Arabidopsis thaliana: one gene and its partner. The protein of the gene in region 1 interacts with the protein of each later gene in a pairwise test. Each region holds a gene or a part of one and is shown on either strand. Other genes may lie near its edges.

Region 1 (8,232 bases):
TACATTTTTTAAATAACTAAGAGTATCTGGCCCTAAACTCATACATCTTTTCAGACGAGTATCATAATTGTTTGTTAAATGTAAATTATTGAATCTAGTACCAGGTTTTTAAATCAATGAACGGCCGTTTAATAGTTTACAAGAAGAATGTTCGGCTAATCTACTAGATTTATATAGTAAAATAGATTTTTATAAAAACTAAAAAGCAAGTAAATGGTAAAACTAGTACCAAATTAAATATATAACGCCGTTAATATATTTCCTAATTAACTAATCAAAATGGCCAAAACATTATAGTATATGTGGCGACCAATATGCGACCTCCTGTTCAAAAAATCAAACGTACTAGTGGTGTACAAAATAATATTTTGAAATCTTCATTATGAAACGTGAAATCGTCAGGATTTTATAGATTTTGTTTTCCTCTAATAAATTTTTCTAAGAGCCTAATTATTGTCAAATATTTTGTAATGTTGGCGTAATTTTAATTATTTTTAATAATTGAAAATATATTTTGTAGATTCAAACAATTTAGGATATAGTTGAATGAAGTTGACAAGTTGATGCATGCAAAGAAGTAAGAAGAATGACATTCTTGTATGCGAAAATGATTATTTTCAATTAGTGACTGATATCTTTTGCAAGTCTAAAATAAATATAATATATTTTATTAACAATTCGTGAAAAGTCTTTTTATTTGATGGCAAAATACTACATGGTTGTTCTTTTTTTTTGTTGCAACCATGTAATGATTAATGGTGATATTGTTGGTTGGTTGGTAGTCGAATGTTATATGGTTATTATTTTTTTGGTTGCAACCATGTAGTGATTGATAGTGATACTGTTGGTTTGCTACATGGTTACTCCTTCTTTGGTTCCAACCATGTAGTGGTGGTTGATGGTGATATTGTTTGTTGGTAGTCGAATGCTACATGGTTGCTCCCTCTTTGGTTGCAACCATGTAGTGGTTGATGGTGATATTGTTCAGTCGATCATAAAATATATGATGCATGAAGAATATAAATTATTGAATTGTTTTTCCTTGCTAAAAAGTTAATAAAAAACAATTTATCCTAAATACTCTTATTTTTTTGTAATTATGTTGTTAAAGGGTCTAAATTTTTATATATCCTTTTATCTTATATAAATATATATATATATATATATATATATATTATTTTATTGTTTATATATATGTAAGTAAATGATTGTGTATAAACAAAATTAATACTGAAAAAGACTAATTTTTAAAATTTGTACCAAAATTCCAGTTCTATTGAGCCGGTTTTGGGTGTATATATAATAATATATTATAATATATAATAATATATTATAATATATCGTGTATTAAAATTTAAAGGTTTATTACGAAATTTTAGACTTAAGATTGAATTCTATCATCTAGATTATTAAAGTTAAATAACTTATTATGATCTATTATTTTTATCATTGTAGACACTCTTTTAAGTGGTAAAGTTTAGGTCTAAAATCTATACATGTTATATAACAAAATAAAGAAAACACCAAAATTATTAGGGTTAACGAAAATAATATGTGACGTTACAGAAAAGAAACTTGCGCATTTTTAAAAAAAAAAAGTTGTACAAGGCGAGAAGCCTTAAAAAGCGGCACAGAGACTTCTGTAGATTTTTTCTCACGTGCACTTGCCATGTGTTGAATATTCGACAAATTTTATGGGCTTTACTCTAAGCCCAACTTTTCCTCTTTAGGCCTTTCTGCGCTGTTGCGTCAAAAAGACAAAAACTTAATAGATTTAAGAAAATCAAAATGATTCATTTTAGTTTCGGTATTTATCCTTTTGCATGTCATTGATCAATACGTTTTGAATCATATTTATAAAGATTGAAAACTATAGTATATGAAATCTTTATTAAAGCCAAACCAAAAGCCCCACTTATTTTACGTATTTGTCTCTGTCGAAACGCAGATTTTATCAGACAAGTGGCACCAAACTAACTAAAGAATCAATATTGTATTAGGCAAAAGAAGAAAAAGATAACAAAATTAATCATTTTCTTAGAGTTGGGTAGGTCACTAGAGGCCCAATTATTACTCACTAAGCTAAGGAGGAGTACTTAAGTTAAAAGATGCCACTGCATAGCACTGAGACCCTCCAAATAAAGCGAATAAAAATTAATAAATTGATTAAAAGTATTAATCTTCCACTCTTGTCCCACAAAATGCGACCTAATTTCTTGGAAAAGTTTATTCAATTTCTGAATAACAAATAATTCACAGTTATTCAAATATTTATACAAATAAATTATCAGCTATATTTAAAATCGTTACTAAAAAATATATTTAACCAATCGGTAGTAATCTCGTGGTACAAATATCAATTATCCATTTTCAGATCAAATCATTACTATAACTATTTTAATTTAAAAACTATATATATATATATATATTATATATCAACTTTTTATAATGTGAATCATAAGTCGACTATTAAGTTTTGATATATGATATTGTATGTTTTTTTCTAACAAAATCATAAACAAATCACATCTTATATATATGAGATTCAGATTCTCTATGTTAAAAAATAAAAATTACCGGAATATTCCCCTCAAGCATCTGACGTGTCGGCCGACGATGAAGAATCCAGGTCATCAAAAGGTGTAGTTTAGAAACAGAGGCGCACGATAAGGTCAACTTTTGGAATAGAGGAAAAGACTCAACCTTTTTTATCATCTCTCTCGATTTGTTTTTCTCCCGGTGGTGATGCTTTTGTCGTTTCATCGTTCGTTTACTTCAACTTGCTTATTATTCTACGCTCATGGACTAATCAAAGCCATGAGGAAAAAAAAAAAAGCAACAACACAAAATATATGTATAAAAAAATAAATATCTCTGCTTTTTTTTTTCAATGATGGGTACGCTTCACCTCTAAGTTTTGACCAAAGTTTTTCTTCATTTCTCTCTTCTCTCTTGTGGTCACCGTTTGATCGGAATATTCCTTTTAGAATGCCAAGATTCATTCTTCATCTCTCGAGCTCCTCATGAATTTCTTCTCTGCTTATCAATGGAGGTTGGTTTTTGTTTCTCATGTTATCTTTTCTTGCTTTGTGAAGTCCTTAAATTTTCCAATTTTGGTTTTTAGTTGTTGCAACTTTCTAGTTTCATGGGTATTACTCTATTTGGCTATGTTTCTTCAAAAGGCTCTGTTTTGGAGAGCTGGGTTTTCTAAAGTTTCAACCTTTATTGCTAAAACTGAAACTATAACTACTTGTTTATTGTGTGTGTTAGTAAGCAATGCAATTTTAGAGATATGGACTGGATCTATATATCTATTGAAAGCTGAGCTAGAGAATCTGTTTCTTGAATTCAATAAGCTTGAGTCTGTAAATTGTTGATTTACAGATGATGAGCTCTTCTTCTTCTACTACTCAAGTTGTATCATTCAGAGACATGGGGATGTATGAACCATTTCAACAGTTATCTGGTTGGGAGAGTCCTTTCAAATCAGATATCAACAATATTACTAGTAATCAGAATAACAATCAGAGTTCTTCAACAACACTTGAGGTTGATGCTAGACCAGAAGCAGATGATAACAATAGAGTGAGTTATTGTTTATTCCTGGATCATGCTTTAGAATGATTTATAAGTGTTGTTTGTTTGGTGATTGATGGTTAATTATGTTGCAGGTGAATTATACTTCTGTGTATAATAACTCTCTTGAAGCAGAACCGTCGAGTAATAATGATCAGGACGAAGACCGGATCAATGATAAGGTAAGGCTTTAGCATTTTAAGGCTACTTATACCTTTTGCTTCGAAGACTTCATAAACTCCTCCTTCTCCATTTTAATCTTTAGAGGAAGAGACACGGCGTGATGACATGAATTGTTGTTCCTTCTCTATGAACAGATGAAACGGCGTTTGGCTCAGAACCGAGAAGCTGCTCGCAAAAGTCGTTTGAGAAAGAAGGTAACCTTGGTGGGATTTTTTCTTGTGTTAATGATAAAAAGGAAAGCTTATGCAAAGTTGTGTCTGTGCTTGTAGGCCCATGTTCAACAGTTAGAAGAAAGCCGGTTGAAGTTGTCACAGCTCGAGCAGGAACTTGTAAGAGCTAGGCAGCAGGTTAGCTCAAGCTTGTTTATTTGTTGTGTGTTCATCAAACTTTATCTGATTCATTCTGACTCAGTGATTCTTCTGGTTTGTATTAGGGATTATGCGTACGCAATTCTTCAGATACTAGTTATCTAGGACCAGCTGGGAATATGAACTCAGGTTGGTGTTTATATCACTAAATAAGCATATGTTAGCATTGCTTTATCTCTTAATCCTCAGTAGATAAAGAAGTAATTTTCCCAATAATAACCATTTTCAGGTATTGCTGCATTTGAGATGGAATACACACACTGGCTAGAAGAGCAAAACAGGAGAGTTAGTGAGATTCGAACAGCGCTCCAAGCTCATATAGGTGACATTGAGCTCAAAATGTTGGTAGATAGTTGCTTGAACCACTACGCAAATCTCTTCCGCATGAAAGCTGATGCTGCAAAGGCTGATGTGTTCTTCTTGATGTCGGGAATGTGGCGAACTTCAACTGAACGCTTCTTCCAATGGATTGGAGGTTTCCGCCCATCCGAGCTTTTAAATGTAAACTTCTTTTTTACTTTTACACGTTTCTCTTTCTACTCTTGAGAAAAAATGCTCAACCTTTTTTGTTGTCTAGGTTGTGATGCCATACGTTGAGCCCTTAACCGATCAGCAACTGTTGGAGGTGCGTAACCTGCAACAGTCGTCTCAGCAAGCAGAGGAGGCTCTCTCTCAAGGCTTAGATAAACTTCAGCAGGGTTTGGTCGAAAGCATAGCAATTCAGATAAAAGTTGTTGAGTCTGTGAATCACGGGGCTCCAATGGCTTCAGCCATGGAGAATCTTCAAGCATTGGAGAGTTTTGTGAACCAGGTAACGCTAAGTGTATTTGCTTTGTGCTTTTGCAGTCTCCATGAATCCAAAGTTTATTTTCATTTTTGATTAGAAACTTTGTGAGCATGGATTTCACAAACAAAATCTCTGACAATATTGGAACAGGCGGATCATCTGAGACAACAGACCCTGCAGCAAATGAGTAAGATATTGACGACAAGACAGGCTGCTCGAGGGTTGCTCGCTCTAGGAGAATACTTCCACAGGCTGCGTGCTCTTAGTTCTCTCTGGGCAGCTCGTCCACGAGAACACACTTGACAAGTTAGGAGGCAAACAAAACAAAGAGAAAGAAGCACAAGGCAGATGATGTTAGCTATAGGGACTTGCTTTATCTCTCAGAAAGTGTTGGCTGATATTTTCTCCATTAGAGAGCATCATCTTCCTCATTGATGATTTTGTTTACTTGAAAGGAATAAGAGATGTGTAAATTTGGGTGGAAAACATGTAATGTCTTTGATGCATTAGGCTCTTTATTTGTAAAATATATAGGGTTTGTTGTCACTCATCTCCTCGTATATGAAAATTTGAGCCCACAATCAAATTTTTTGTCTATATTGTTATTCCAACAGTTCTTAGCTTATATTTGTTGTTGGTATAAATTGGTCAATAGACAAACAATAAATTCAAATAGATTCATAGAGAGTTTGATCATTCCCTTCATTCAAATTGTGCCTAAAATGAATATCCTACGGGTCTCAGCCAAAAAAGCCCACACCGAGGAAAGATAAAGACAAGAGTTAAAGGTAACACATGTTTCTTCCCTTTTGTGATACAAATGGGGTAAAAAGGGTTAGTTCTCTTTCTTTCTTTATCTCTCCTGTAAAATTCAAATCTTCTTCACTAGCCATCCTGGAAAAAAGAAGTAAAAAGACATAAGAATAGACCAAGAAATCAACTTCCAAATGTGAAGAACACAAGACTCATATGGAAAAGGCAGCAGAGTACTTCATGTAAACAAGAAAGTATCCATGACCCGGTTTACTACTACTTCCTTGTTACAAAATACAAGCTAGGAGGATGAAATATTACAGTCTCGTGCTTCTTAAAGAGAAAGGATTATTTACCTCTGGCATGGAACTGCTTGGGCCACCAAGTGATAAGGCATTGTGGCTATTACTTGAGCCCATAGAGTGTCCATAGAAGTCGGTACTTCTGCAAGCAAGCATGATCAGTTGGTAAGTATGGTATAAATAGTTTGGGAAAAGAAATCACTAGTAACAGAATACCTAGCATCTGAATGTTCCATCTTTGAAGCTACATCAGAGGTCTCTCCTGCGTTGTTGCTCAAAGGGCTTGATCCAAAGCTTAGTTGCGAGCATTCTTCTGTAGAGATTGGCAAATTATCTGAAGTTACAACAGCAGGTTTATCGTCTTCATGAGATGCTTCTTGATCATGACTATTTGTATCTCTTGTCTGCAAAAGAAGATAAAACCATACGACAAAGCCAAAGTTCCAGTAAAACAAAAATGACAACTAGCTTAAACCAGAAGTCATTTGATTCCTGTAAAACATCAAGAGTCAGGAACTACATGAGGACAGCTAGTGATACAGAGTTTGAGGACAGTAACAACTCCTCAGGTATGACAGATTTCCTAATTCATAAGATGAAATTAATGTTAAAAGATAGAGAGCCAGAAGCTTCAGAAATCTGTCATCTTACATTTATCAACTGCCTGACTTGGCCATGAAGACTTGCGACGTCATCATCATCTAGGTTAGAGTGCAATTTAGAACTGCTGCGCGCCACTCTGCAACCAAAACACAGCAATGAAAGAGTCGCAACACTGAGCATTGTTCAACTCTGTGACAGTCTGATCAATTTACCTTTGACGACGACGCTTTTTAGATCTTTTTGGTTCATCTTGTTGCTCCTGTTTCCTCTTAAGGTTTGCCCTTGGAGCTTCATCCATTAGTGGGCAATTAAAATCCGAAAGAAGATGGCGTGGTGTTGAGGAGGGCCGAAGCATATCTTTATCATTATCCTGAGCACCAACCACCATGTACATCACTTCCAGGGAAACCCATACATACCCACCAACACCAATTTTTGGGCCGTTGCTCAGCTTGCACAACGCCACCTGTTCGCGGTTAATCACATCTACCTTGACAATCACCACGTCATGAAACCCCGTGAATTGAGTATTCTCTTCTAATGGGCCACGGTAGATGTGCTGCACAACAATTTATATATGTTAGCTAAGAAAGTAAGACCTAATCAAATACTACACTGCTTAAATTATTCTTACTTCTCCAATACGCCACAACTCAGGGAAAGTAATTAAAGCTGCACCAACAGGCTGAATGTGAAGGTGGGCTAAAGCCTTGTCCAAAGTGTCGAAACTAAGGACAGACTTTATCTTGTGCTTTCTCTTATGAGCACTTGGAGGATAACGACGGCATTTATACTGACGAAACTGTGGGATCTCTTTTGGGATCCCTTCTCTTTCAATATGTTCCAAGGCTTCAGCAATTGAATTACCGTAGCACACATGTCCCTTTTCCGCATGTTTATCCTTGCCGAGCATCTCTGGTTCAACATGGTTGCTTAGGTACCAAGCACACAGTGGAATATATGTATCTTCCCAGTGGCGGATAATCCTTATGGCACTGGTTAGATCGGAAGAAGCGTACGCCTAACAATTGATGTGCCTGAGCTGATCTCGAATAAAACCAGCAATCACGATCCATGACGAGCTTTTCAAAAGCTCAGCGAATGCCTAAACAAGACAAACAACAAAAGTTCTGATATTTTGGAAAATTATGGACATGTTAAAGTTTAAGTATTAGATTCTGTACCGGTCTTGCAACTCTCCAGCACAAGAAAGCAACGCGACCATCATCTGAAAGGTGGAAAGGACCTCTTCGGGCTGTTCTTCTTGCTTGTTGAACATACCAATCAGTCAGGATCAAACACAGATTTCCAGGCTGTATAATACTCAATCCCTTCTTTCTCAGGCGCTTCAAACAGTTTGGTGGAAGCCCTTTTAGACCATCAGGCCTTGAGGGTATAAACTGATCCATATCCATAGGTACCACCACCTTTTTGTTTTTTCTTTTACCCATCTCTGAAAAACAAATACAAAAACACAAACATATCAGTGTCTCAAACATTATTGAAGTGTTTCAATATTTTTTGCAATGGCATTATCCAAAAAACGAATACAAGTAACATACGACATCACAAGAAATTTATTCTTAACAAGCCATAGTGAAGAGTTTTTGAAGACTCCAAGACCACTACTAGTCTAGTGACACATAGTAAAGAGTTTTTT
Region 2 (8,088 bases), on another chromosome or scaffold:
AGAGTGGTTGTAGTAATCTTGTGAATGGAGGAAGAGATTCACAGAGTGGCCTCCTAAGAAAGTTCGGGACCATGTTAGATAGAAGACGCCGTGATCTGTTTGGTAGAGACATGTTGTGAGATTCGGATCACCGGAAGATAGAGGGGACGGTGATTGCGACGGCGGTTGCGGTGGAGGATGATTGTGATCGGCGGTTGGGCGGAGCCAAGACGGAGACATTTTCGTGTTTACTTTTTTTTTTCAAGTTGGGGAAGAAGAAGAAGAAAGAAAGAATAAAAGAGAGAGATTTTCGGGAGTTTTGTATTTGGGAGGTTTTTATTATTTGGTTAAAGAGGGATTTGTATATTTATATAAAAAGATTGTTAAATTTTCAGAAAATGGAAAGGTTATAATAATGATTGGCTCGAATCATACGTAAAACAAGAATGTGGATGAGGATTGATAGCGATATGAGATTATAATTATGCGAAAATTTTGATCTTGTGGGCTTGCAACTTGTAAACTTGGGCATAAAATCTGACTTTTTCAACTTGACTTTCTTCTTATATATGGAGGATGGATTTAAACAAGAACTATTCACATTAGGTTGAATATTACGAGATATTCAGGGTTAACAGTAAAAAGGCGTTATTAACTGTTCGAGTATGAGGAACACGTTATGATTAACAAGCCTGCACACTTGAAGGTTTATTGGAGAACATAATCAATTGGTATAAGTTGGGTCAATTATTTCACATTATACAACCTTTTTTTTTTGTCACATTATATAATGGATTTAGAATTAATACACACCCATTAATTACATTTATAGTAACACATGTAGGAATAGTTTTAGCTTTTGACATACCCATTGATAGTCTACATGTAGTAATAAAAATTACATTTATAGTAACACACACCAACTATTTGTTATTTTAACGCCTAATGGACAGTTAAAAAACAAAAATACTATAATTAGTGTGAATTATAATCTGATACTATAATTAGTGTGACAATTGAAAAATGTATCCCTTGTGCTGCCTGAAAAAAAAGACAAATTAATAGTAATTGGTTCGGTCGAATTAATATGATTTGAACTTTTCGGTTTATTTAATTATGTTTTCATAAGTTATATTTTATTGATTTCTTGAGTTATTCGGATACGTTGGCAGACAGCTAAAAGGAGGTGGATAAGTACTTATTGAGTCATATCCGTATTATTAATTAATTTGATATTTTTGTTAGATCTGTATTTTCTTATACTATAAATCAAGGTGGGTTTTGAATCTTTAGGTTCAAGAAATTAAAACTGTAAGACAGGTAAACTGTTTTTTCATTATTTATATAGTTAGCTACGTGTATAACAACCCATTCAAAATTTATAAGCTATGGTTTATACACCAAACATTTAACTTATTCGAACATGTATTATGATATAATATTCTTAAACACTTAAGTAATCACAAGTTTAAGTTTAGCAAGTTCCCAATTTATCATTTTAACATTGTTTAACTTTTTTTGCCGTTAAAATTTGGGTGAAAATAATTTTGTTAGCCATGAGTAAATTGTGAATTCAATTGGCAATTATCGTTTTAATAAGACTAAAATATTATTTTTGACGGTAAAAAAGAAGACAGTAAAAATAATTCTTTCCCGATCTAAAATCAGCATAATTTTGAACTTAATAAAAAAATCATATTACTAAAACAATGTTCTCCCGAGTAAGTTGGTATAGCTAATGCAAAAAGAGTCCTTGTTGTCTCATCCCATGCCATAATCTTTGGATCATATCCACATGTTTTTTGATTGTACAAGTGAGATCTTTGATAGCAATAAACAATTTCATGTAATAATTACACTTACTTGTAGCTAGCAATATGGTTTGCTTCAAAATTACTCTGTCTCCTATCTTTTCGAGTACTTTCAAATCAAAGGAGGATATTTGTTTCATTTATTGACAAAAACTCGTACTTCCAAACTTAGTCTGGACAATACTTTAACAAGAAGAAAGAAAGTATATATATATATAGAACATAAAGTTATCTAAAGTTAATTTTGAAGAAATGGTGGTTAAGAGAGTATGTATACTTGATTTTGTTTAATGAAATTATAAGAAAAACGAAACGATTTTGAGAGCAATGGTTGACTGAATTTTCTCATGTGGAAGACTAAGACCAGGTCAGATTGAAACGACAACACGCTTTTAGTAATTCAACTTAATAACCCCTCCTCTCTCGAGTCTCGTCGACCTTCATTTTCTTATACTGTCTGTCCACTTCTTAGATTCTCTTTTCAACTTTTCAAATACCTTTCTTTTCTTTGAGCACCTACTTCAACTTCATTAATATCTTTTGACTAAACGGCAGTTTTTTTTATATAATTGATTTGGTGAAACTGTGTGTATGATTGGTATAATCTTCTACCAGAATGACAATAATTTGGCCGCTCACAAAAATCCTATTAAGAAGGTAACCAAAAAGTAGAAATATAGGCTGTGTGTAAAAGAAAGAAAAAAAACTGTGTAGAGATAAATTCTACATGCTACTGCTAAAGATTTAATTGTTTTTTTACAACCTCTGATTTCATATCTTGGTACTAATAGCTGTTTTACTTTAGGAGAAATAGTAATTTATGTATTTACCAGTTAATCATCAGATCCGAGAACCTTGTAATGGGCAAATAAATTGTGAAGATAATTATAAGGACACAACAAATATATGTTAATACAAACAATGTTGTTCCATGTGGGGGTTTTCACTAACTTGTGAAAAACTTTGAATTTATTTGTATTTCAGAAAAGTGTATATTATATGACGAAAAAAAATAAAGTATATATTATATATGCATTTTGAAAATATATGGTTAATAATGAATTCATCGGCGGAATATTAGCTGCTACGAAGTAATTGAGATCTCGAAATATATATATATGATTGGTGGGAAAGAGCAGGTTCATGTCTCCAAGTTCATTATTTTAACGAAATAATATTACGTACAAAATTTGCTGGAGATGAGGAGCTAGGTACCAAATTAAATCTTATAAACAATGGCTCTAGAGTTGTCACTCTTACGTTTGCATGTGTATTGTTTGATACTAATCTTTTGACAATCCAACTTGATATTCTTATTTTGATTATTAAGCCCAATTGAACTGAGTCTAATGACTAATGAGTATTACCTATATAGAAGCTCATGATTGATTTAATTTTAGTTGGTTGTTCTAAGCCTTTTCTTGTGTAAGTGGAACTCAAACCACGTGTTCATAGGTTTCACTTGTGTATGCACTCCTGAAAGGAGGATTAGACTAGTAGTCTTCCGTACGCAGTTCTACTTCTGCCATTGCCACTGCTACACTGGCTGTCGTTTCTTCTAGCGGACATAGCTCCCAGTTCGAACTCATTCACTCGTTTTTTGGTTTATGTTCAAACTTTCTAGGTACATAATCTTAAATTTTGATCCACATTCGAATAGACACATTAGACAAGGTCGTTCTCGAGTAATTCCTATTTTTTTTCCGGTTCGCTAACACTTTGTTCTGGGTTTAACCATACCGGTTTTTATTTGAAACGAATTCTATTAATTGTGGTTTAAGTTCCGGTTCGGTTTCGAAAGCACTAGGAGAAACTAAAATCCCTAAATTTTCATCGTTCCCTCTGCTTCTCCGACGGCTCGATACCTTCTCCTCTGGTCGACGACTCAAAAATCGCCGGTTATAGTTTTTTCTTCCGACCGTTTTCTAGTTTCGTCATTTTCCGTGTTATTTAACAAGTATGTTTACGTTGAGCTTCATTCTCTATTACGATGTCTTACCTCGTAGAGACTTTACCTAGATTAATCGGGGCATATCGAGCTTGATGTGATGTTTTAGGTTAGTAGAATCGAGCTTAGATACATCAAATTTGAGCAGAGTCTCTAATACTCGTGTTTTAGGTAGAAAAAGATGAATTTTGTTCTTTGTTATGTACATTAGCTTAAACCCTTGTTAAAACACAGTTAAGAACTTGTTGGTTGTTTATAAAATGGTCTTTTATTGAACTCTTTTACATGATTTCTCTCAGAGAAAGATAAGGTGTGGCTGCAATGTCTGAAGCAGAAAATAAATTGCCTTTCATACCAGAGGAATGGTCAAATGCAGCAAGTTCTGTTTCCTGCAGTTCGTTGCAACCGGTTATAGCTTTGGTCTGTGGCCCTAAAAACAGTGGCAAAAGCACATTTTCACGCAATCTTGTTGAAGTTCTTCTCCAAAGGTTATTACTTTCCGTTAGCCTCTCTTTATTGTTCCCGGTCTTTTAATGAGTGTTCGTGAGTCTGATTATTGGGGAAAACTGTCTTTTTTTTTTTTTTTTTTTTTTCCGATCAGGGGAAAACTGTCTTGACCTTCTACTTCTTATAATTTGAATGGAACCAGATTTAGTTTGAATGGATGCAATTTTCTTAAGTGGCTTATGATGGTTGCTTTGTTTCGATAAGTTTTGCTGACAATTGACCTTTGTGGTTCTTACAGATACAAAAGGGTTGCTTATTTGGATACTGATGTTGGCCAGCCTGAATTTACTGCACCTGGTTTCCTTTCTCTCACAATTGTTGATAAATCAATTCTAGGTAACCCTCATACTTATTGCTTTCACGATTCTTGTTGTTTGCATTCCGAAAACTTGTTTTCATAATGCTGTTTCAGTCACTTATGTTTCTGGTTATATTTTCTACTTTGTAGAATCGGATTGGACAGTTCCATGTGTAAAGACACCAGAGAGGTTAGTTTGGATCAAGCAAATTTTGTGATGTTAAGAATTTAAGCGACTTATTCCCCTTTCTCTTTTGTTTGATGATTCAGATGCTTCTTCTATGGTGATGTTTCTTCAAAGAGGGATCCAAAGGCATATTTAAGATATGTATATACCTTATTCGATTACTATCAGCTACACTTCTGCAAGTCTAGCGAGAACAAAACTGAATTGCCGCTTGTCATTAATACACCAGGATGGGTTAAAGGTAACTCACTCTCTTTATCCTTTCAAAACAAAAGGAACAGATTTTTTCTTTCACTAATAGAAATGATTCACAACCTTTAGGAATTGGCTATGAGTTATTGGTGGACGTGCTGAGATATGTTTCCCCTTCCCACGTTGTGAAAATTAACATCTCTGCTTACAACAAGAACCTACCAGCTGGGTTGTTCTGGTTAGACGGTAATGATGATGAGACAGCTCATTTGATAGAGATCCAATCTGCTTACCAAGACAGATATAATCAATCGTAAGTCCTGTACAATGCTAGTTATCGAATAATCTCACCGATACGCTTTGTTCGAGTAGTTACAAGTTTTTGTATCCTGTTTGTACAGCATTTTAATACATAAGGATGCTCGTTTGATGAGGGACATGCGTATAATCGCCTACTTTAGGCAATGCTTTAAAGGAAAAGAAGTAAACACGATCAAAGAACTAACACATGAACTCGCTTCCCATATTCCTTATGAAGTTCCAATATCGAGTTTAACAATCAACCATCTCCATTGTCAGGTAAAAAGAAAACAGTATAAAGGTCATATCTTTCTAATCCATATGATTGATGATGCCAATAATGGGGTTCTCTTCTTTTTAGATCCCAAGTTCTGAAGTGTATTATAGTTTGAATGCTTCCATTGTTGGTTTGGGCATTAGCACCGAGGTGTTTGAGGATTTGCCATCATGCGTAGGTCTTGGTAAGTTTCTATTTATCCATTGCAATCAGTGATCGAACATGGGTTTATGATTATGTATTGAAGTTGGTTTTGGATGTTGAATGTAGGAATCGTGAGGGGTATTGACACAGAGAGAGGAATATTATATGTGATCACTCCAGTACCAGAAAACTTAGTTGAGAAAGTTGATCTTCTATTGCAAGGCTATATTCAGTTACCTACTTGCCTCTTAGAGGTGAAGGATTACAGGTCGCCATATTTATCTGCCAACGTCTTAGCTTCCACCTGATTTCTTTTAAGACATTTTTGCTCAGTTCTTCGTTTTTACTATGTGTCAGTTTATCTACAAAGTTTCATGTTTTTTTATAGTTCAACTTACTATGCAACCAGGGTTAGATCATCTTGGAGACGCAGTTAGTTATGTGTCTTGTCCACACCTACTACTAATGTCACCATTTACAACTTATAATAATTTTCATTTGTTTTCGTAAATAGAAATCACATGAGAAAAGAGTTCATCAACAGTGCGCAAGTAAGCATTTCAAAAGGATACTGTAATGTTCCGGTTACAACTTCTAACCCAATATACACATCAAAACCACCTACCGGTCAATATTAAACCGAATTTCTATAAAAAAAAACACCGGTTTTCTATGGTGTTTAACAGTGATCCATTGAAGCACATTTGATGGTTTTTAAGGTTCCACCAAGTTCCATTGGAACCAAAGGTATAAGAGAATGCAAGACGTCTGTAATCAACGGTCTATAACTCGGTTCTGGCTGCACGCACAAAATCGCCACTGCCGCTACCTACACATTCACATGCTCGCATCAAAACTCTTGATACTATCTCATCAAAACCAACTATATACTTTGCACAATCAACTAAATCCTTCTCAAACGTACCTGGTAAAGGTGTTTCAAGTCCATCGTATCTTTAATCGCAGGATCTATGACGCTTGGTAACTTGGTTCTATCAGTGAGATAAGGCATTGCCTGAGAAGAATAAAAAAACACAATTCAAAGTTGGTTCCAAGTCTAAGAGTTTTAGAGAAACATAAGTATGAGTTTATTATATATGTACCCAAGTGATGATGGATTGGCATTCACCGGGAGCTAGTTTCTCCACAGGTTTTTTCCCGAGTAAAAGCTCTAATAACACTACTCCAAAAGCATACACGTCGCTCTTTTCTGTCAATTGGCCTATAGAACCAAACACATGCAGTATGGTGATGAGTAAGAAATGCTTCTCATAAAAACACAACAAGTTTCTTTAAGGATGATTTTTTTTTAAAGTAAGACTTGACAGATTGTTATTTCAGGGTGTTACCGTTGAGAAGATACTCTGGTGCAACGTAGCCAACTGTCCCGGAAAGTTTATGGTTCTTGTTCTTTGGCCCATCAACAACAGCTAGACCAAAATCTGAAATCTACATTTCATAGAAAGCTAGAGCTTTAGACAAAAAAAACAAAGGAATATGATATTGAAACATTATGACTTTAATCACTGATTTGTTTACCTTAGCATTGAAATTGCTATCTAATAAGATGTTGGATGATTTCAAGTCCCTGTGAATGATTGCTGGATGACAATGTTCATGCAAATATTCTAATCCCCTAATTTGAAACAAACACAAAAATAGTAGTTGTTTTAGTCCTCTAGATTGTGAATTATTGCAAGTTGAAACACGAAAAAGTCACAGGCTCACCTTGTTACATCAAGAGCAATCTTCATCCTCATAGGCCATGTGATCGCCGAACCCTGAGAAGATCCTGAGAACAAGTAGTTGAACAAAAAGTTTCAGTTTCTCTCATGTTCACAACTTTTACAAGAATATGTAAATAGGTTTATGTACCGTGTAAATGAGATTCCAGAGAAACGTTTGGCATCAGCTCATAGACAATGAATCTCGCAGTATCATTCGTGCTATAACCCAAAAGGGATATTATATTCGGGTGCTGGAGCTTACTCAATATCTCAACCTCACTCTGCAAACCCCAGAGAATATAACAAACTCAGGAAGATGAAAACATGGAAGAGTTATCATAAAAAGAAAGATTGGTATAGCACCTTAAATTCCTTTGCTGCATCTTCATTGGCACAGTCTAGCTTCTTAACCGCAGCTGAAATGTTGTTCTCTAATGTGGCAGAATATACACATCCAAATCCACCTTGACCCAAAATGTTACTCTCCTTGAAACCACTAGTTCCTTCTTCTAGTATATTGTAATCGATCAATGACACTGTTCCCTGCTTTGTAGTTCTCTTGTCTAATGTTTTTGAGCGACTAAACCGATTCAAGAATGTGATTCCACTACACCCACAACCTTCAAAACCCAAATTGACACATTGAGAGTCACTTTCTCAGCTTTATCGAATTCATCATGAATTTCAAGATTAAGGCCATAAAAACGTGAAAACGAGA

Evidence for each region. The genes of interacting proteins can lie anywhere in the genome.
Region 2: the proteins of TGA3 (region 1) and AT5G11010 interact in binary tests that used the Arabidopsis thaliana proteins (3 or more experiments, as listed by UniProt).

What each region holds. Positions count from the first base shown.
Region 1 is NC_003070.9:7,786,605-7,794,836, forward strand, and holds TGA3 (transcription factor TGA3), read left to right. Parts: upstream 1-2,528; 5' UTR 2,529-3,046; coding exon 3,047-3,052; intron 3,053-3,384; coding exon 3,385-3,585; intron 3,586-3,671; coding exon 3,672-3,758; intron 3,759-3,893; coding exon 3,894-3,953; intron 3,954-4,028; coding exon 4,029-4,106; intron 4,107-4,192; coding exon 4,193-4,256; intron 4,257-4,356; coding exon 4,357-4,628; intron 4,629-4,704; coding exon 4,705-4,938; intron 4,939-5,064; coding exon 5,065-5,217; 3' UTR 5,218-5,535; downstream 5,536-8,232. Other genes in the region: AT1G22080 (Cysteine proteinases superfamily protein), read right to left, coding at 5,800-5,808, 6,024-6,111, 6,186-6,373, 6,621-6,708, 6,785-7,131, 7,207-7,485.
Region 2 is NC_003076.8:3,480,117-3,488,204, forward strand, and holds AT5G11010 (Pre-mRNA cleavage complex II protein family), read left to right. Parts: upstream 1-3,515; 5' UTR 3,516-3,747; exon of another isoform or gene 3,748-4,037; 5' UTR 4,038-4,059; coding exon 4,060-4,226; intron 4,227-4,483; coding exon 4,484-4,581; intron 4,582-4,693; coding exon 4,694-4,733; intron 4,734-4,813; coding exon 4,814-4,971; intron 4,972-5,051; coding exon 5,052-5,235; intron 5,236-5,323; coding exon 5,324-5,501; intron 5,502-5,583; coding exon 5,584-5,683; coding exon of another isoform or gene 5,684-5,715; exon of another isoform or gene 5,716-5,769; coding exon 5,770-5,951; 3' UTR 5,952-6,151; downstream 6,152-8,088. Other genes in the region: AT5G11000 (hypothetical protein (DUF868)), read right to left, coding at 1-219; AT5G11020 (Protein kinase superfamily protein), read right to left, coding at 6,323-6,472, 6,569-6,658, 6,747-6,865, 6,993-7,092, 7,183-7,279, 7,372-7,435, 7,519-7,651, 7,734-7,990. UniProt on the Arabidopsis thaliana protein: Polynucleotide 5'-kinase involved in rRNA processing.